4 linked regions of the Saccharomyces cerevisiae S288C genome follow. Each later gene encodes a partner of the first gene's protein in a complex. Each region holds a gene or a part of one and is shown on either strand. Other genes may lie near its edges. A codon is read from its position in the direction of its gene.

Region 1 (4,509 bases):
ATCAAGTTATTATTATTGCCATTATTATTGTTATTACTGCTGTTAATGACATTGTCGATGTTATGGCTGTAACTATTACTGTCATTATTATTAGGGTTATTCAGAGCAACGTTCTTGTTTTGTAAATTTGTCGGAATTGGAAAAAATTGAAGAGGTTTCTGAGTTGCCGAATAATTATTATTGAAAGAGTTTTCATGAATGGATTTTTGTTGTTGAATAATAGTAGATTGATTGCTGTTGTTACTAATATTATTTATTAAATTGTGTCTTGTGTCATTGTTGAAATTCATCGTGGTGTGGTTATCATTATTGTTCATTATATTCATTGATGAATTTACTTGGAACTGTTGAGGAGTTTGGAAAACAAGGTTTTGTAAAGGACTTGGATTCGGCTGGTTGATCGATGCATTTTTCTTGCCTTTCTTATTCGCAGCTGTAGTTGTAGCCGATGTTGATGAACTACTGTTCTTTTTTCTTGGTGTTTTATTGTAGCTCGATGGAGAAGTTATCTTCGTTCCCGGCGAAGTCTTCCTCAATATACTATTTTTGCTTCTCTTTGGTGGAGGGTTATTTGGATCGAATTGAAAAGTTAAGATGGAGTTGACCACAGGGTCAATTATTTCGTACTTATTGACTAAAAACTTCGCTGAATCCAGTGGGATCCAAGTACCTTGAAACCTACCATACCCACCTTGAACTTTTTCATGTTGCATATCATTTGATTCCTTTTCCAGTATTTTAGTTCTTTTCGTCTTCGAAAATTGAGCTATTTTGAAAACCTGGGTAATATTAATCCAATCATCTTTAGTTCTTCTCATCACTATTTTAGTTTCAAACCCACGTATATAGCATTCGTATACATCGGTTTCTGAATACGTAGCTATTTCAATCACTGGATGGTTTGAATGAGGCGCCAAAAGAACTGATTTTGATATTGGCGTGATGTTCTGGTGATTGGTATTATCTTTTTGGTTTGATATCAAAACATCAAATGGCATGATTTCTCGAATAAATCAACCTTTTAGAACTACGCAAGAGGGACAGAAGGGAAATGAGAAAGAAAGAAGAGTTAATTTTCGGCAAAGAGCAATTATTGTTGACAATATATCAAATAACGTGAAATAATGTACCTTTTTTTCAAAGGGTAAGTGGAGGAAGAATCGTTTGAAAAAGCGACGACCAATGCTAGATGTGATTCTGCTGTAACAACAATTAATAGTAAAAATAACACAATACACTAAAGAGTTTCTTTTTTTATTATCTCGAAAAAAAAAAAAGCTTCCAGTTGAATTTAGCAGCAAATATTAGTCAATTAGTTGATATGCTAAACCAATGCTAAAGGATGGCAATAACTATAATATCTTTTGTGCGTTTTTCACGTTGACGTGCTTCTTAGTCCTTGTTCCTCTTTTTTTTTTGTTAGGTTAACCATTTATTTCCTAAACGGGAAATAAGCAGGCGGGGAGCTGAATATAATTAACTTTCGCGTCATGGTTAGTGACGCGTCACTTCAAACGCGGGTAACAAAATCAAGTTGTTTTTAGCCGCCGAAGGTAATTGTATCCATAATGAAGGCTAGATTAAACCAATAATTTGTAGTGACAAAATTTATAGTCAGTAGCAGGTTCTCTTTAAATTGAGAGATTTCGACAGCCTTTTACTAGATGTCTAGTTTAGTAAAACTAATTTTCGTATGCTGCTAAACGACCTAAGATCCGCAGTCACCTATCGTTTAAAGTACGCAGTCACAATGCGGTTGAAATGTAATGTACTTATATTACCTCCTTCTTAAGTAACATTTCATTTTTTCCGCCACCGTACACAGAGTAATTGCTTCGTTCGTTATCTACTTGTACTGAAGTCCCTCTAAACCTACTGCCTTTTATTTTTAGGCTCTAAAATAACCATGGACAACGTGAATTGGGTAGCATCTTTTTTTTAATAGATAGTTTATTATGTATAACAATAATTTAAAGATATTCATAGTGATAAGTAATTTTAAATGAGTTTAAAGTACTACTTTTCCTTTACCGCCAGTTTCCTGTACTATGAAAAAGGCAAATTCCGCATTGTAGCCGCCCACACGCATTTTGATCATCAATTACGAAATTTGCCGCACACGTGTCACGTGATAAGCACTCTTACTATCATGTTTTACGGAGTAGCAATGATGTTCAATTATTGCAGCTTTCTTTCGTGAAATCGTAGTATCATAGACCTTCCTAATGATGGAAGCGGTAAAGAAGGAAATCGTAAAAGTAAATTAACGAAGTAGTATTAGTAAAACAGAGTTGAAAAACTGATAAATCTTCAACTCGAACTGAAAAGAAACACAATAGAATATTTTTTCTCAATGCTACCTTTATATCTTTTAACAAATGCGAAGGGACAACAAATGCAAATAGAATTGAAAAACGGTGAAATTATACAAGGGATATTGACCAACGTAGATAACTGGATGAACCTTACTTTATCTAATGTAACCGAATATAGTGAAGAAAGCGCAATTAATTCAGAAGACAATGCTGAGAGCAGTAAAGCCGTAAAATTGAACGAAATTTATATTAGAGGGACTTTTATCAAGTTTATCAAATTGCAAGATAATATAATTGACAAGGTCAAGCAGCAAATTAACTCCAACAATAACTCTAATAGTAACGGCCCTGGGCATAAAAGATACTACAACAATAGGGATTCAAACAACAATAGAGGTAACTACAACAGAAGAAATAATAATAACGGCAACAGCAACCGCCGTCCATACTCTCAAAACCGTCAATACAACAACAGCAACAGCAGTAACATTAACAACAGTATCAACAGTATCAATAGCAACAACCAAAATATGAACAATGGTTTAGGTGGGTCCGTCCAACATCATTTTAACAGCTCTTCTCCACAAAAGGTCGAATTTTAAACAAATTTTGTATTATAATAATTATGTACATATATAAATATATTGGTACATATGTACTGTGTGTGTATGTGAATGTTGATTACCGTTTTCTTTAAAAAAAGCTTTTCTTCTTTTTATTACCGAGCTTTCCTTTAGTTTACAGGTTGACTTTCTGGTGGTATATTTTATTTATAAACCATGAAGCCGTTAAGTAACTTAATGCGCCAAGCCCTAAACTGCACATTACGTTGAAGATTAAACTATAACAAATGGAAATTAAGATAGATGAAAACCCATGGATGTTTAGCACTGCGAAAATGTAATATAGCGAATACAATTCCATATATACACCACCGCTAAATCCCATTTCAAAGCACTTCCATCTCCAATTGTTGCGAACCACCTTATCTTCGAAGCAAAATCTCATTAATAAATAACTTCCAATAATTGATATCTCCATAGTTAACACGCATAATAGTATGATACTCAAAAAAAGGAATCCGTAAAAATAATAAAATGTAGTTTTCTCCAACCAGAGAGATTTGTAAACGTATTGCATTTCCACGTAAATTACTAACAAGGGGAAAATACCACATAAATAAATGCCGCAGTAAACCAACGGGTTGAACTTGGCTCGTGATTTAGGTACAAATAATCCATTGCCATCGCTATTGCTTTCATCTTTAGTAATTCCACTCAACCAATATTGAGGCAAAGGTATATTATTAGCTACAATACCACCAAACAAGCTGAGTGGTATACAGACGATGAAATAAATGCTCATGAAAAACACAATAGTCTTGAATGGTAATGCACTTGTAGAATCATGTGCCCAAACAATACTATTTAATAAAAATGTGCTCACCATTACAATGCCAGGTAAGCTGGACCCACAAAGTATCGTAAAAATGGGACTAAACTTCTTGTAGTCTTTGAGGTATCTGTTATCGTCAAGGTAATTGGCCTTGGTTCTTTTCGTTTTCGTTACCATACTGAGTCTTGTCCCTACGAATGATGCCATGAATGCTCCAAGTACGAAAAATAAAATGGCCATAGTTAGCACACTGTTTCTTACATTATGCAATTTGTTCATTGAACATGATATCGTTAAGGATCCAATTATGGTAAATAAAAATTGCACCCCAAATGAGACCAGAAGGATTAAAACTTTTAAACCAAATAAATTTGGTCTACCATTTTGTATCCAGTCTTTCGCCACCGTGTAAACGGAGTATTTACCATACTTGTCATCGTCCAGGTCATCCTCTGTTTCAATTCCTTCTATATTTATCATGTATTTGGGGGACTTTGAATTACTTTTATCCGTGTACATGACTCGTACGTAAATAATAAGCGTGATAAATGAGATGGACAATACAATTCCCACTGAATTGGCTAAGCTCATCCAATGAAACTGAATGCTCTGTTCGTCAGATAACTCACCTGCGTTCAAGAAATAATCCCATCTATGATTCCAGTCTACTTCAAATTCTTCCCTCCAATATACGGAGTAAGTAAATGGCAAATATGTCAACTCATTTTCATCCTCAGGAATGACTATTTCGTATTGTTCGTAGTTCTTCGATGCCCCAGGACAATGATAATCTGACACA
Region 2 (4,539 bases), on another chromosome or scaffold:
CTCATTAAGATGCATCAAACCGTTAACGGAAGACCACCCATGGGTAGGTAAGATTATTTTCAAACCGGCACTGCCACCAGCATTCGAAACGAATAATCCACCTATAAGAGTTTATAGTGGTGAAGATAGTACGGACTTGATGCACGTGAAAAACCATTATTTAAAGCCATACATAGTGGGATCCTGCGGGTTTTTGAAAACTGGCTCAAAACTTTTTCACTTTTACGATAGAACTAACGACCTTACGAATTTATGAAATATATGTGTTTTTAATGATTAAATAATAGTCAAAAATATAATTAAAAAAAAAATCGAATGTAATGGGTGGTTCATCTTTCATTTCCTGCGGAGGGAAAGGCGTATCAGAAAAGAAAAACATGAAAAAATCTGTTAAAGTGATAACTACAAATACATATGTATAAAAGTATGAAAAAGTATGGAAAGGGTGAGCTAATGATGAGAGAATTGGAATAAATTAGTTTGCCAGCAACACGTAATAAATGAAAGGGTAGATATTGATTTGACCTCTTGGTTGTCGTCAAAAATTAAGCGATAACACAGGCGGGATCCCAGAAGAGGCCCTTGATTATATAGTTGTCTTTCTTTTCAGAGGATTTATCCTTCTGAGTGGCTTGTGTGGAAGCAGTGGTGATCGGTTGCATTAAGGTTGGTAGTTATTGTTGTATGAAGATGATAGCTCGCTGGTGTCTCTAGTGATGTCAATGAACGGATGAACGACAGAAGAAGTGGATGGAAATAAAATGGTTATTTATCAGATATTTATATACAAAATTACGTGGTAATGCAACAGCTTTTTCCTCTCGCTTTGTTCTTTTTCCTCTGACATGCATGTTTCATTTTCGTTCCTTATGGCATCCATGTCATGTAAATTTCCCGAATAGGTAAATACATGCTTTTTTAACTTAAAAAATTATGGGCGTCCTATGCATGCACTTAACGGAAAAGGAAACTATCAATTAATTATGTAGTAGATGGTGTACCTATTATTGCATTAGTATTTGTTTCAAATGAAAACATGCTGCTTTAACTTTTCTAATTTATACCATAAACGGTATAGTAATGATGAAACTGAAAAATAAAAAAATAAACAGTCTGGTCTTATCGACCATGTTAACATCATCAAAATCCACCAAGTTTTCCGAGAAAATAGATGAGGGCCTGTTATTATTACTAACTGAGTTTGAATTCTTTTTGTAAAATCGTGGCAGTAGTTCTTGAAATGTCATTTTGAAGGACACTGAGTTTCGAAATATCAACATTATGAGTATGAATAAAAGTGTAAGGATAATGATCCTTTTGAGTTCCATGTGATGAGAAGTGGTATGCTTAGTATTGCTCATACTGGACAAATACGAAAGGAATCAGTAAATAATTAAGATTGTAGAGGGAGGGGTGTATGTGTATGCGGATACTTTTTTGATTTGGCAGAAGGAAAATTGGTATTGGCAGCTGTACAGTGACTCCCCTTATACAAATGATCTCAGTTTGTTTCGTTTTTCCTCATTCTCTGGCTTTAGACTTCAAATCGCGGTGTAAAAAAAATAGGACAAAACTATGTAGCGCATACTATGTCAGTCAGGTATTGAGAATATGTAAAGAAATGCCATACCGTGATTTGATTTTGTTTTCAACTGTAAGGAAGGGAGTTTATATGAGATTATATTATTAAACCTATTTTTGCATATATAGTACATCAGAACCTTCGGCGGAACTTAAAGAGACCAAAATAGTACCTCTTATGACGGTCAAACCTAGCTTTCTTGCGTTTTTAGAAATCAGTTCAGTGTTGTTTTCATCATCAGGATTAGACATATATTCTACTGTATCATCAAGTACCAAGTTCATCAGTTGATCATAGCCTTTTAGGACACCTATAACTAATTTACCACCCATTAATTTGACGCGAATTTTAGAATCTTTATACTTCGCTAAATCCAGAATAGCTTCTCTTTTAGGGCCTTCGAATTTTTTCCTTTGCTGTTGTGGTTTGTTCTCTGATTTCTTAGTTCAAAAAGGAAACATAGTTATTATAATGTTAGTATAAATAAGTCAAAAGGAAGGTTATTGCCACGGAAGAAAATAAGAAGTGAAACATACGGAGTGTTGCTGATGCATGTTTTTTTGGTTAATGTTCTGTGTAGTAAACAAAGTGCTGCTCTCAAATAACTTTCTTTTTTACTGTAGTAGTATACACGTACATGCGTATTCTTAATTGTCGTTTCCCAGTTGTCTGTTTTCAGCTACAGCTTTTTTCGCCTTTGTTCGAAAGAACAGTACTTTTTTCCGGCTCGCAGGGAAACGGCAGTTGAAGAAGACAAGCGACAAGAACATAGAGCAACGAATTCAAATAAAGAGATAGAAAAAAAAATTACATGGCAAAACTATGGTTAGAGTTGTCATAGAGAGTGAATTGGTCCGTACAGAAAAGGAATTACCAAATTCGCTTAAATTAAGGCAGTTCAAGGACCGATTGTACCATGTTACCGGAGTGGAACCAGAGGATATGGAAATAGTTGTGAAAAGACAGTACGACAACAAGGAGATATATAGTACTAAAAAGGGGGGTGCCTATTCAAATGAGGATGAAGATGCCAACTTCCTAAAAGGAGAGGAGGAGCTTATTGTGGTTGTTACAGACTCTAATGCCCAATCAATCTCTAACCAGCTGGCCACGCAAGCGGAAGGAATCCCCTCAATGGAAGTAATTAGCGAGGAGGATTATTTGCGAAGGGATCAATCCGTATTACGATGGAAGATGGCTCACGGCTATGGTAGGTTTAATGCTGCACAGCAGAGCCAGCGCGCTGCGCTGGCAAAGCAGGACGAAGCATATGCCCGAGAGCAATTAACGGCGGCTATCGGCCGCCACTGTCGTGTCACAGTAGACGGGAGCGCTCCACGTGAGGCCATTTTACGGTACGTAGGACCACTACCGTTGGACGTGATGGGCACATGGTGCGGTGTGGAATTCCCGGAAGCCGCAGGCAAAAACGATGGGCGCATAAATGGGGTAACACTGTTTGGGCCTGTGGCGCCGGGTCACGGATCGTTTGTGCGTCCGCGGGCTGTGGAAATTCTATCAAAAGACGAAGAATCCGCCGAGGTGGAAGACGTCCATGATGACGTGGAGAGCGATGATGAAATTTGAATTTGTGCAGAATTAGCGCGGTGGCGGTTTAGTTAGTGATCTCCATCCGATGTCAACATATTATTATTTGTAGTTGTATTTATGTGCACTCGGCGGTTTGTATGAGGAAAAGATGTTATGAAGAGAAAAACTGCCGAGTAATTGAAAGAGATGTCTGAAGTAGCGGAAACATGGGTGGATACCTGGATGGCAAAACTAGTCAACTATGACTACAAGCACTTTATAAGATTGGTGATAATTGTAGGTGGTTATTTACTCTTAAGAAATATCGCATCCAGGGAATTGGCGAAGAAGCAGTTGGCTGCCCAAGTGGAAAAGGACAAACGAGACAAAGAGGAAAAGAGATCAAAAGACCTGATCGACAAGCCAGATGATGCTGCAACAGCAGAAACAACTTCTTTCGGTTGGGGTAAGAAAACTAGAAGAAGAGTTAAAAGACAACAGGAGTTGTTTGAAAACGCTTTGGAAGAGGCTAAGAGAAGAAACCAAGGGTTGGACCCAGATAGTGATGCTGATATTGAGGAACTACTGGAAGAATAGGCTCTCTGTGTATGTATGGGTTCCTCTTTGTCATTGTGACATTGTTTTGTTTTTAGTTTTTCTATAGTTTTCTGATAAAATAGTCTAACCATTACCGATGTTGCTACTTGCATCATTCTCAACGTCTAATCAACTTGCGTTTGCGTCTCAAATTGAGTTTGTAGGTTACGTGTCGCCTTAATAGTCAGCAAATGCCGACGTTTGTGAGACGGATAACGACTGCGATGATTCCCATTCCGCATGAATGATGCAATTCACAATTCAAACACGATATCAAACGACTAAGCCGTGAATTAACGGCTAGAATGCAAAAGAAAATGGGTAAGAATTGATTTATGTAGATACGGCAAGACGATACTTTCCTTAAACAGCCGAGAAACGAAAAGGTTTAAAGAGATGTACTGTGACGTAGAAGAGAAAGGATTACGCAGCAATGGCTTGTCCAAATTTCGTAGTCTAGCCAATTGAAAATATAAATTATTTTCAATACTAATGGGCGGCTTTCGAACAAATGTCACATTGCAGAGGTGATCGTTCAAAGTAATTAGCAGTCATGAACGAGATCTTCTTTTCTCTTATGAAGAAAAAGGCTGATGGTCGACAAGAAAAATCTCAATACAATGGCTACCATTCCACAAAGAAGTGCCTCGCTAGGTGTAACTCAATGAACTGAAATTGCTTTCGTCAGTGGTTTCAACTCTTGTGCGGCCGCATGAAAAATGAAGAGAAATTTGAAAAAATCTCAAAGAAGAAAATAGTTTCCTCATCGCAGCAACCTATAGAAAACAACACGACAGAAAGATATTGTAACTTGATAGTACCGAGCATAT
Region 3 (4,526 bases), on another chromosome or scaffold:
CACCTTCCTTGATTCGAGAACCTTTGCCAAAAGGATTAAATTTGGCCTTTTCTGTTAATGGTACGCCATCCTCGTTTCTTTTTCCAACTTTTTCATCGTTAGAATCTATTGTATTGTTAAACATCCGCTTGCGTCTTTCTACACCCTGGAGTTTGTGCCTCTTAATATCTCTCAACCTTTCCAGGGCATCATTGAGTGATCTGACCATTTGTCTTCGACTTTCGTACTGTCTACCTTGAATTTCCACCATTTCAACATCCGTCCAGCCATATTTCTCTAATACATCCAATGTTTTGTCTACTTGCTCAATGCATGGGGAGAAGCAACACAATCCGACCTTTTCGTCTACGGAAATAACAGAATCCAGATGAGGTATAGCATCCCAGGGAGCCGGCAGATCTAAAAACACTACATTTGCATTCAATGAAGCGGCGGTTTCATTATTGCCAAATTCGTAAGATGTAGTGTCTCCCTTCTTTATAAGAAATCCACCTTGGCAAACATCCCGATGTGTAATCGTAACGTTATCATCAATAAGTCCATGCTCTTTGAATTCCTCTAATGCTTGTTCGTATCTTATGTGATGAAATTCAAAACTAAAAAGATGACCTACAGATCTTGCAAAAGCGTGCGAAAATGATCCTGAGCCTGTACCTGCCTCGATCACTCTGCTGTGAGGGCTACAATTCAACCTTTGCATGATGTAGGAAGAGTCGGGCGTATATACAATTTGAGTTCTGTGTGGTAACGACAAAGTCCACAATTCAGGAGTTGGTTGCAGAACATGGACGAATGCAAACTTATTTGAGCCCTTTGTTCTTATAGCAATTTGAGAACCATAAGGTTTACCTATGATATCCTTATGAGGAAATGAACCATAACGAGTATTGAATACCTCTTCGGAATGCATCCTTACCGGTTTGATGTTATCTCTAGAAACCCATATTAGAGTTAAATCGCCTTCCTTGATGAGGTCTTTGTAACCGGAAAAACAATTTGTTGACATTTCTAAATCTGCGTAATCTTAGCTACCTGATAGTCCCACCCCGATCTTATTCACATATATTTTCTATATACTTTAAACAGTTTTAAAAGTGATGAGCATGGAAAAAAATTCGTTGCTAACGGCATGGCATAAACAAAAAGCGAAAAAATTTTATAGATAATAATAAAGAAAAAGTATCAATAGCATGAGTGTTAATGTTATAACGAAGTGTAAGAGGAAAAAGAATGCTGCGCAAATACGTTACTTCATAAAAAAACTCAAGTACTGTATATATTTTACATTTAAATATATTAATTTATATACAAATACGGCCTCCTCTCTTGCATTTTTTTTATTGTTCCATCTCCAAAGGCAGTTGATTAAGTGTACGGATAGGTAAAACTGAATGTGGAAATTTTTGAGAGTTTACTCCAGGATATATGTTGGTAGTATTGTGTTTTTCTTTCTTAGTACATGTCAGATTTATGGAAATCGTAAACGATACCATGGCGGGCCATTTTTTTACCTTTGTGGGTTTCCTCTTTAAACCTTTTCTCATCATTTTTTTGCTTGGTCAGCCAAGCCTCCTTAAATGGTATGCGTTCCATGGCCTCAAGGGGTTGATCTTCTTTATCGATGTCTACTTCGCCTAACATGACAACATTTTCACCACGAATCATGAATATGCCGCGGTCTTCTTCAGCGTATTTGTTTTCTTCGCTAAAATATATTCTCTCCACGCAATCTTGAAGTATCAAATTTGCATATTGGTCAAAGGTTCTTAGTACACCGAATAGCATTCTTCCATCACGCAAAAGAACGAAGATTTTACGGTCTACTGAGCTTACAATAGCAGCGGTGGTAGTGAAGTTATACTGGTCGAGATATAAATCGGCCTCACCTTCTGAAATCTTCTTTGGGAAATTCTGCTGTTGTCGCTTCGCATCCTGATTGGACTGATTTCTGTCCTTGCTATTTGCAGACATTTTTGGTGAATTAATTCGATTCGAGGGCTGCTTTCTTTTATAGGTTTTGAAAGCGGAGCAAATGTTGGTATAACTCTACTGCAGCGTTGGCAATCCTGTTGAAAAGGAAAAGAAAATATAACTAAACTGTGTTACTTGTATCTTCACTAATATTTAATCAGCCCTTGGTCATACAGGCTTCCCCTAGATTGAAATACAGGTGCTGAACACCGTTGTATATTCACGACTTCCTCTATTTTTTTCATATTTTCCATTATTCAACGAACGCGGGTAACAAGTCGGCCGAATTTGAACCCACTCCTCTGCGCTTGTAACTTTATACATCATCGTTACGCTATAAATGTTATGTATTAAGTGTATCAAAGACCCATACGGTCAATGACATAATTCTGTGCCATGACCCCAAATGACAAGCTTAATCCATCTTCGATCCATTCCTTTACCCATTCACTAGGATCAATGATCTCATCGTCTTCGTCTTCGTCTTCACTTTCTTTTTGTTTCTTTTGATCGTATGACTTATTCCTCTCCTCACTTGCTGTTGATCCTGTTTTCTCCACGGATCCTTCTAGCCAATTGACCCATTTGACAGGGAATCCTTGTGATCTTGTTATGGTGGTAATATCGTTAGTTATGTCTTTCAATACAAGGGTGAAATTGAAATTGCCTGGCGTATTGGAGTCGGTCACTTGAAAGTCACCGTCGGCATCTTTTTGTTTTTGCGGAATGGCAATTGGTAAGATGGATATGAATAAATCACTGATTTTATTGCTGTTACTGCTAATAGAACTCCTATCGTCATCTGGAGTGGCATCAGCCTCTTTCTGTTGTTTCTGGTATTCCTCATGTGCAGTATTGAAGAGTTTGACTGCATTTTCCAGGTTTGCAAATGCCAGTTTCTCACCGTCTGTTACCTTGCCGTCGAATAGATTAAACTGTAATTTTTTTTTAGAGTTGCCTAACTCACCGTCTGCAACTGAAGGCTTTTTTTCCACAGGTGTAATTCCATTATTGTTAGGATGGCCCCATTCATCTACAAATATTCTGATTCCTCCCTCAACTTGTGAGCTTAGAACTTGATCAAACTTGCTTTCAATATTGTATTGTAATGAGGGATAGTTAACCAAATCATGGACTAGATGAATTCGCAGCACCTCTTCAGTCTCACCAACAACGATTTTCTGTAAGTTTCTGGCTATTTCAGTAATCGTGCTCGTGTTTATCTTTGAAGTCAAATCAAGCTGTTCTTGGGCAAGTCGGTTTTTGATCTGGGATGCTTGTTCTGCAGTTTTATTCCAAATACTCGATACCTTTGCGGATCCAGAGGAGGACCACCAGTTTGAAATAGAAGCAATTGGGTCATGCAATGGGGTCTCCTCCTCCTCCTCTTCTTCTTCTTCTTCTTCCTCCTCTTCTTCTTCTTTCTCCTGCTGCTGTGGTTCCTTTTCCTTTCCGTGAGCGTCCTGCTCGGAATTTTTGTTTTCTTTTGATTCTTCTACTTTTTCGTCTTGTGCTTTATTATTAACTGATTCACTGGGAGCCTTCTTTTCAACCCCTTTCTTGTCAGTTAAGCTTAAGTTACTCTTCTCCAACTCTTCTAAGAATTCAAAGATATCATCGTCACCTTTCTTTCCATCATTCCCGGTCTTGCCCGCCACAGAATTAGAACCTCCCTTAACGCCTTCTTGGCTACCCTTTACGTCAGTATTAACCATTTTCCCGCCATTCTTTGCTTCTGGCAAAGAATCTAAAAATTCAAATACGTCTTCAGCCTCAGAGTTCTTATTTTCAGACATTTTGCCCTGGTAGTATGTATGTTTTTAATCGATTGAGTCTAGTTAACCTGTCCCTTGTTCTATTCTTCACCGTCTCGTCCAACTTCCATCAAAGAACCAGAAACCAGAAAATCGCCGGTTTCTTCCACGCGTCAATCCGTTTGGAATGATCTCATCGCAAAATTTTTTTTCGCTAAAATTTTCATAGAGAGTATCAATATTAATATATGGTTATAACTTATGGCGGCATTAGTCGATGAGGTGCTTGCCGAAGAGACTAGCACAGCCAACCCATAATGCCTTCTAAAAACTCCATCAACAGACCTAAGCTGACTTCAAATTTGCACCACAAGGTGCACTCTTTAAATAAGAAAAGAGCTCAAAGAGAAAGAGCTGGTCTCTTGAAGCCAGCTAGATCCAGCGTAAATTCGAAATCTGGGGAAATAAAATCAGTAGCGTTGGACCTATACTTCCAAAACAAGAAGAACGAAAGTCAGAATTCCACTGCTGTGACATTACAAAATGCTTCATCTTCTCCGGCCTCCATCACCACGAGGACACTTTCCAAAAAGAGAGCTAAGAAAATCGAGAGAAACTTAAAATATGCTACACAGAGAAAATTATTGGTTGACGCAAGCGCTAAGCTAGAAGACGAAATGGATATTGATCTAGATGGCGGTAAGAAAGTGAAAGAGAATGAAAAGAAGAGTTCTTTGACTTTGGTTAAGGAAGCCTTATGGAGTGTCATTGACGATACTGCATCCCAGGGATTGATCATCG
Region 4 (4,215 bases), on another chromosome or scaffold:
CTAAGATGCGGTGCCAATTTTTTTTTTTTTTCTCTTGATCAAAGCAGCTAGCTGTTCATCAAGATATGTAACGTTTTTAAGCACTGAACTAACAAGGGGAGCCAGTGAACGACTATGTCTTCACAAGATGTTCTGATACATTCAGATGATCCGTGCCATCCAGCAAATCTCATTTGCACGCTATGCAAGCAGTTTTTTCATAATAATTGGTGCACCGGAACTGGAGGTGGGATTTCAATAAAAGATCCTAACACGAATTATTATTATCTCGCCCCATCTGGGGTGCAGAAGGAGAAGATGATACCTGAGGATTTGTTTGTCATGGACGCTCAGACATTAGAGTATTTGCGCTCTCCCAAGCTTTACAAGCCAAGCGCATGTACTCCATTGTTCTTAGCGTGCTACCAAAAGAAAAATGCAGGTGCTATAATACATACACACTCCCAAAATGCTGTGATATGCTCCTTGCTATTTGGCGATGAGTTCAGGATTGCTAACATCGAACAAATCAAAGCAATTCCAAGCGGAAAGGTGGACCCTGTGACCAAGAAACCCATGGCGCTATCGTTTTTTGATACGCTGAAGATTCCCATCATTGAAAACATGGCGCATGAGGACGAGTTGATCGATGACTTGCACAAGACTTTTAAAGATTATCCAGACACATGCGCCGTAATTGTGAGGAGACATGGCATTTTTGTTTGGGGTCCGACAATCGATAAGGCCAAAATTTTCAACGAAGCCATCGATTATTTGATGGAGCTGGCCATAAAGATGTACCAAATGGGGATTCCTCCCGACTGTGGCATTGGCGAAGAGAAGAAGCATCTGAAGATGGCCAGTCCGTGACGGGTTAATGCTTAAATTTATTGTATGATTTATATACTTCTATACATGGTATTATTATTATTATTATTATTATTATTATTATTATTATTATTATTATTACTATTATTGCAACTATATTATTTTGTCTTTGATTCGTACACTTTTTCCCATATTACATGCTCATTTTCGATTTTATTCTTGGTGTCCTTTAGCATTGGGACCTTCTTTTCGTCTATAGGAGCTAGACTGTCATCATTTTCTGCATCTATGAGGCCAACAAGAGCAATCTCGCTGCCTCGAAGTAACTGTGCCTTGCAGATGAATTCCTTGCTTATGCGGTTGAAAACATTGGTTATGAATAGATTAGTATTTTTGTCGAAGCCGTTTAGGCTTGCTATGAGGCATTCGCCGTCAACTTTGATTATAACAACTCTTTTATTTAAGTAGTCTTTCAAGGTGGCTGACATGGTGCACGATAGTGTGTTCTTCTTGTATGGTGTACTGTATGCAGCTTGCTGGTCCATCTTATAAGAACCACGTAAGATTAGTTTTTTTTTTTCCCTTTACGCCATGATAGTATTTTCAGGACTTAAAGGGAAAATCAACAAGAACAGAAAGAAGGAAAACAAGCAAAACAAGGATACTGCAGACGTGTAGAAACATTTAGTAAAATGGTCGCTAGAGGTAGAACAGACGAGATATCTACAGATGTTTCAGAGGCTAATTCTGAACACTCGTTGATGATTACAGAAACATCATCACCGTTCAGATCTATATTCTCCCACAGTGGGAAAGTAGCGAATGCAGGCGCTTTAGAGGAATCGGACAAGCAGATACTGGAATGGGCAGGTAAACTGGAATTGGAGAGTATGGAGCTGAGGGAAAACTCTGACAAGCTAATTAAAGTTTTAAATGAAAATTCTAAGACATTATGTAAATCGCTAAACAAGTTTAACCAGCTACTGGAACAAGATGCTGCTACGAACGGTTCGTACCAACACAGTGCATACCCTCAAGTTTTTTATTCATTTTCTTCCAAAACACATTTACTAACAACTGTAGTATAGGAAACGTGAAAACCTTAATAAAGGATTTGGCTTCCCAGATTGAAAACCAACTGGACAAAGTGTCAACAGCAATGTTATCGAAAGGCGACGAGAAGAAGACAAAGTCGGATTCCAGCTACAGGCAGGTATTAGTCGAAGAAATAAGCAGGTATAATTCCAAGATAACGCGACACGTAACTAACAAGCAGCATGAGACGGAAAAGTCGATGAGGTGCACCCAGGAGATGCTCTTCAACGTCGGCAGCCAACTGGAGGACGTGCATAAAGTGCTCCTGTCTCTATCCAAAGACATGCACAGTCTACAAACCCGCCAGACTGCTCTAGAGATGGCGTTTCGAGAAAAGGCAGATCACGCCTACGATCGCCCGGATGTGTCTCTGAATGGCACCACACTCCTGCACGATATGGACGAAGCCCACGATAAGCAGCGTAAGAAGTCCGTGCCGCCACCAAGAATGATGGTCACAAGGTCCATGAAACGCAGAAGATCCAGCTCCCCAACCCTATCCACCAGCCAAAACCACAATAGCGAAGACAATGATGACGCTAGCCATCGGCTGAAGCGTGCGGCCAGGACCATTATTCCCTGGGAGGAACTAAGACCCGACACTCTGGAATCTGAGCTGTGAAACGGGCGTCCTGCTTTTTCATTCTACACAGGCATATGTAACAGCAGTGTATAGGCTATGTAAATCGGCCCAATCAACAAACAAGCGTTGCTTATTGGACTTGCTACTACCCCAACAAAGGAGAGAGCCTTTGATTGCATCCTCGGAAGAGACGGCATAAACACCGAGCCTCATCCTACAATGAAAAACCACGCCAGTTGGATATAAACCAGAAAAGGGTTTCAATTCAGTATCCACCATGAGCAAGACAAGATAAGACAAGATTGCATAAAAATGAGTGCTTCCAAAATGGCCATGTCCAACCTAGAGAAAATATTGGAACTGGTTCCTCTTTCGCCTACCAGTTTTGTCACAAAGTATCTGCCTGCCGCGCCCGTAGGGTCTAAGGGCACTTTTGGTGGAACGCTGGTATCACAATCGCTGCTGGCGTCATTGCATACTGTGCCATTGAACTTCTTCCCCACATCGCTACATTCGTATTTCATCAAGGGTGGTGATCCGCGGACCAAGATCACGTACCATGTGCAGAATCTGAGAAACGGTAGAAATTTCATCCATAAGCAGGTTAGTGCTTATCAGCACGACAAGTTGATATTTACGTCGATGATCTTATTTGCCGTGCAACGGTCCAAGGAGCACGACTCCTTGCAGCACTGGGAGACGATTCCAGGCCTGCAAGGTAAGCAGCCAGACCCTCATCGTTATGAAGAGGCCACTTCGCTTTTCCAGAAAGAAGTTCTGGACCCACAGAAATTGAGCAGGTATGCCTCATTGTCCGACAGGTTCCAAGACGCAACCTCGATGAGCAAGTATGTGGATGCGTTTCAATACGGAGTCATGGAGTACCAATTCCCCAAGGACATGTTCTACTCGGCAAGACACACCGACGAGCTGGATTATTTCGTCAAAGTGAGACCTCCCATCACTACCGTGGAGCACGCGGGCGACGAGTCTTCTTTACACAAGCATCATCCGTACAGGATCCCGAAGAGCATTACTCCTGAGAACGACGCTCGCTACAACTACGTGGCCTTTGCGTATCTGTCCGATTCCTACCTCCTACTCACGATCCCGTACTTCCACAACCTGCCTTTGTACTGCCACAGTTTCAGTGTCTCGCTCGACCACACGATTTACTTTCACCAGTTGCCTCATGTGAACAATTGGATCTATCTTAAGATTTCGAATCCCAGGTCCCACTGGGACAAGCACCTCGTACAGGGCAAGTATTTCGACACACAGTCGGGACGCATCATGGCAAGCGTCTCTCAGGAGGGCTACGTTGTCTACGGGTCAGAACGAGACATTCGAGCCAAGTTCTGAGGACAATTCCCTCCCACGTATAAACACATACATATATATTCTTATATTATATAATAATATCCTATTTATTATTACATCACCTTTCACGAGCGGGTATCATACCTTTTTCCCTTCGATCTAAGTAGAAAAAGGACCTGAATGATCATTGTGGTACTTATTCCCACGCATAACCGACTACGGCACCACAACGACGCACCAATGCCATCTGACGTAGCATCGAGGACCGGGCTGCCAACCCCGTGGACCGTCAGGTATAGTAAGTCCAAGAAAAGAGAGTATTTTTTCAATCCAGAGACGAAGCACTCGCAATGGGAGGAGCCTGAGGGCACCAACAAGGACCAGCTACACAAGCACTTAAGAGACCATCC

Evidence for each region.
Region 2: the proteins of LSM4 (region 1) and LSM7 are in contact, whole or in part, in a crystal structure (PDB 4M78), measured with the Saccharomyces cerevisiae proteins. Residues at the interface, in NP_011037.3 of Saccharomyces cerevisiae: Glu23 (codon at 2,420), Asn31 (codon at 2,444), Val32 (codon at 2,447), Asp33 (codon at 2,450), Asn37 (codon at 2,462), Leu38 (codon at 2,465), Thr39 (codon at 2,468), Glu45 (codon at 2,486), Leu66 (codon at 2,549), Glu68 (codon at 2,555), Ile69 (codon at 2,558), Tyr70 (codon at 2,561), Ile71 (codon at 2,564), Arg72 (codon at 2,567), Phe75 (codon at 2,576); in NP_014252.2 of Saccharomyces cerevisiae: Ile27 (codon at 1,962), Leu28 (codon at 1,959), Lys32 (codon at 1,947), Tyr33 (codon at 1,944), Arg39 (codon at 1,926), Lys41 (codon at 1,920), Leu58 (codon at 1,869), Met59 (codon at 1,866), Gly96 (codon at 1,755), Thr97 (codon at 1,752), Leu99 (codon at 1,746), Val100 (codon at 1,743), Ser101 (codon at 1,740), Leu102 (codon at 1,737), Ser103 (codon at 1,734), Ser104 (codon at 1,731).
Region 3: the proteins of LSM4 (region 1) and LSM1 are in contact, whole or in part, in a crystal structure (PDB 4M75), measured with the Saccharomyces cerevisiae proteins. Residues at the interface, in NP_011037.3 of Saccharomyces cerevisiae: Met1 (codon at 2,354), Leu2 (codon at 2,357), Pro3 (codon at 2,360), Leu6 (codon at 2,369), Glu18 (codon at 2,405), Lys20 (codon at 2,411), Trp35 (codon at 2,456), Met36 (codon at 2,459), Gly73 (codon at 2,570), Thr74 (codon at 2,573), Ile76 (codon at 2,579), Lys77 (codon at 2,582), Phe78 (codon at 2,585), Ile79 (codon at 2,588), Lys80 (codon at 2,591), Leu81 (codon at 2,594), Gln82 (codon at 2,597), Asp83 (codon at 2,600), Ile85 (codon at 2,606), Ile86 (codon at 2,609); in NP_012411.1 of Saccharomyces cerevisiae: Val47 (codon at 1,833), Val50 (codon at 1,824), Asp51 (codon at 1,821), Leu58 (codon at 1,800), Asp60 (codon at 1,794), Arg62 (codon at 1,788), Arg69 (codon at 1,767), Thr70 (codon at 1,764), Phe71 (codon at 1,761), Asp72 (codon at 1,758), Asn76 (codon at 1,746), Ile78 (codon at 1,740), Gln80 (codon at 1,734), Arg99 (codon at 1,677), Gly100 (codon at 1,674), Ile101 (codon at 1,671), Phe102 (codon at 1,668), Met103 (codon at 1,665), Ile104 (codon at 1,662), Arg105 (codon at 1,659), Glu107 (codon at 1,653), Asn108 (codon at 1,650), Ser169 (codon at 1,467).
Region 4: the proteins of LSM4 (region 1) and LSM8 are in contact, whole or in part, in a crystal structure (PDB 4M77), measured with the Saccharomyces cerevisiae proteins. Residues at the interface, in NP_011037.3 of Saccharomyces cerevisiae: Met1 (codon at 2,354), Leu2 (codon at 2,357), Pro3 (codon at 2,360), Leu6 (codon at 2,369), Leu7 (codon at 2,372), Lys20 (codon at 2,411), Trp35 (codon at 2,456), Met36 (codon at 2,459), Gly73 (codon at 2,570), Thr74 (codon at 2,573), Ile76 (codon at 2,579), Lys77 (codon at 2,582), Phe78 (codon at 2,585), Ile79 (codon at 2,588), Lys80 (codon at 2,591), Leu81 (codon at 2,594), Gln82 (codon at 2,597), Asp83 (codon at 2,600), Ile85 (codon at 2,606); in NP_012556.2 of Saccharomyces cerevisiae: Asn28 (codon at 1,214), Gly29 (codon at 1,211), Phe30 (codon at 1,208), Asp31 (codon at 1,205), Asn35 (codon at 1,193), Phe37 (codon at 1,187), Ile50 (codon at 1,148), Lys52 (codon at 1,142), Ala53 (codon at 1,139), Gln54 (codon at 1,136), Leu55 (codon at 1,133), Leu56 (codon at 1,130), Arg57 (codon at 1,127), Ser59 (codon at 1,121), Glu60 (codon at 1,118).

What each region holds. Positions count from the first base shown.
Region 1 is NC_001137.3:384,879-389,387, forward strand, and holds LSM4 (U6 snRNA complex subunit LSM4), read left to right. Parts: upstream 1-2,353; coding exon 2,354-2,917; downstream 2,918-4,509. Other genes in the region: SBF complex DNA-binding subunit SWI4, read right to left, coding at 1-998; TMN3 (Tmn3p), read right to left, coding at 3,054-4,509. UniProt on the Saccharomyces cerevisiae protein: Component of LSm protein complexes, which are involved in RNA processing and may function in a chaperone-like manner. Component of the cytoplasmic LSM1-LSM7 complex which is involved in mRNA degradation by activating the decapping step.
Region 2 is NC_001146.8:348,537-353,075, reverse strand, and holds LSM7 (Sm-like protein LSM7), read right to left. Parts: upstream 2,137-4,539; coding exon 2,119-2,136; intron 2,023-2,118; coding exon 1,693-2,022; downstream 1-1,692. Other genes in the region: MPF1 (Mpf1p), read left to right, coding at 1-256; MFA2 (mating pheromone a), read right to left, coding at 546-662; YNL146W (uncharacterized protein), read right to left, coding at 1,059-1,361; YNL146C-A (uncharacterized protein), read left to right, coding at 1,496-1,690; ALF1 (Alf1p), read left to right, coding at 2,405-3,169; PGA2 (Pga2p), read left to right, coding at 3,320-3,709. UniProt on the Saccharomyces cerevisiae protein: Component of LSm protein complexes, which are involved in RNA processing and may function in a chaperone-like manner. Component of the cytoplasmic LSM1-LSM7 complex which is involved in mRNA degradation by activating the decapping step.
Region 3 is NC_001142.9:185,674-190,199, forward strand, and holds LSM1 (Lsm1p), read right to left. Parts: upstream 1,972-4,526; coding exon 1,453-1,971; downstream 1-1,452. Other genes in the region: tRNA 1-methyladenosine methyltransferase subunit GCD14, read right to left, coding at 1-1,006; DUF5427 domain-containing protein MTC1, read right to left, coding at 2,331-3,767; ALB1 (Alb1p), read left to right, coding at 4,043-4,526. UniProt on the Saccharomyces cerevisiae protein: Component of the cytoplasmic LSM1-LSM7 complex which is involved in mRNA degradation by activating the decapping step.
Region 4 is NC_001142.9:466,864-471,078, reverse strand, and holds LSM8 (U4/U6-U5 snRNP complex subunit LSM8), read right to left. Parts: upstream 1,296-4,215; coding exon 966-1,295; downstream 1-965. Other genes in the region: methylthioribulose 1-phosphate dehydratase MDE1, read left to right, coding at 115-849; REC107 (Rec107p), read left to right, coding at 1,500-1,815, 1,896-2,524; TES1 (palmitoyl-CoA hydrolase), read left to right, coding at 2,798-3,847; peptidylprolyl isomerase ESS1, read left to right, coding at 4,046-4,215. UniProt on the Saccharomyces cerevisiae protein: Component of the nuclear LSM2-LSM8 complex, which is involved in spliceosome assembly. The LSM2-LSM8 complex plays a role in the biogenesis of the spliceosomal U4/U6-U5 tri-snRNP complex by accelerating PRP24-mediated annealing of U4/U6 di-snRNA.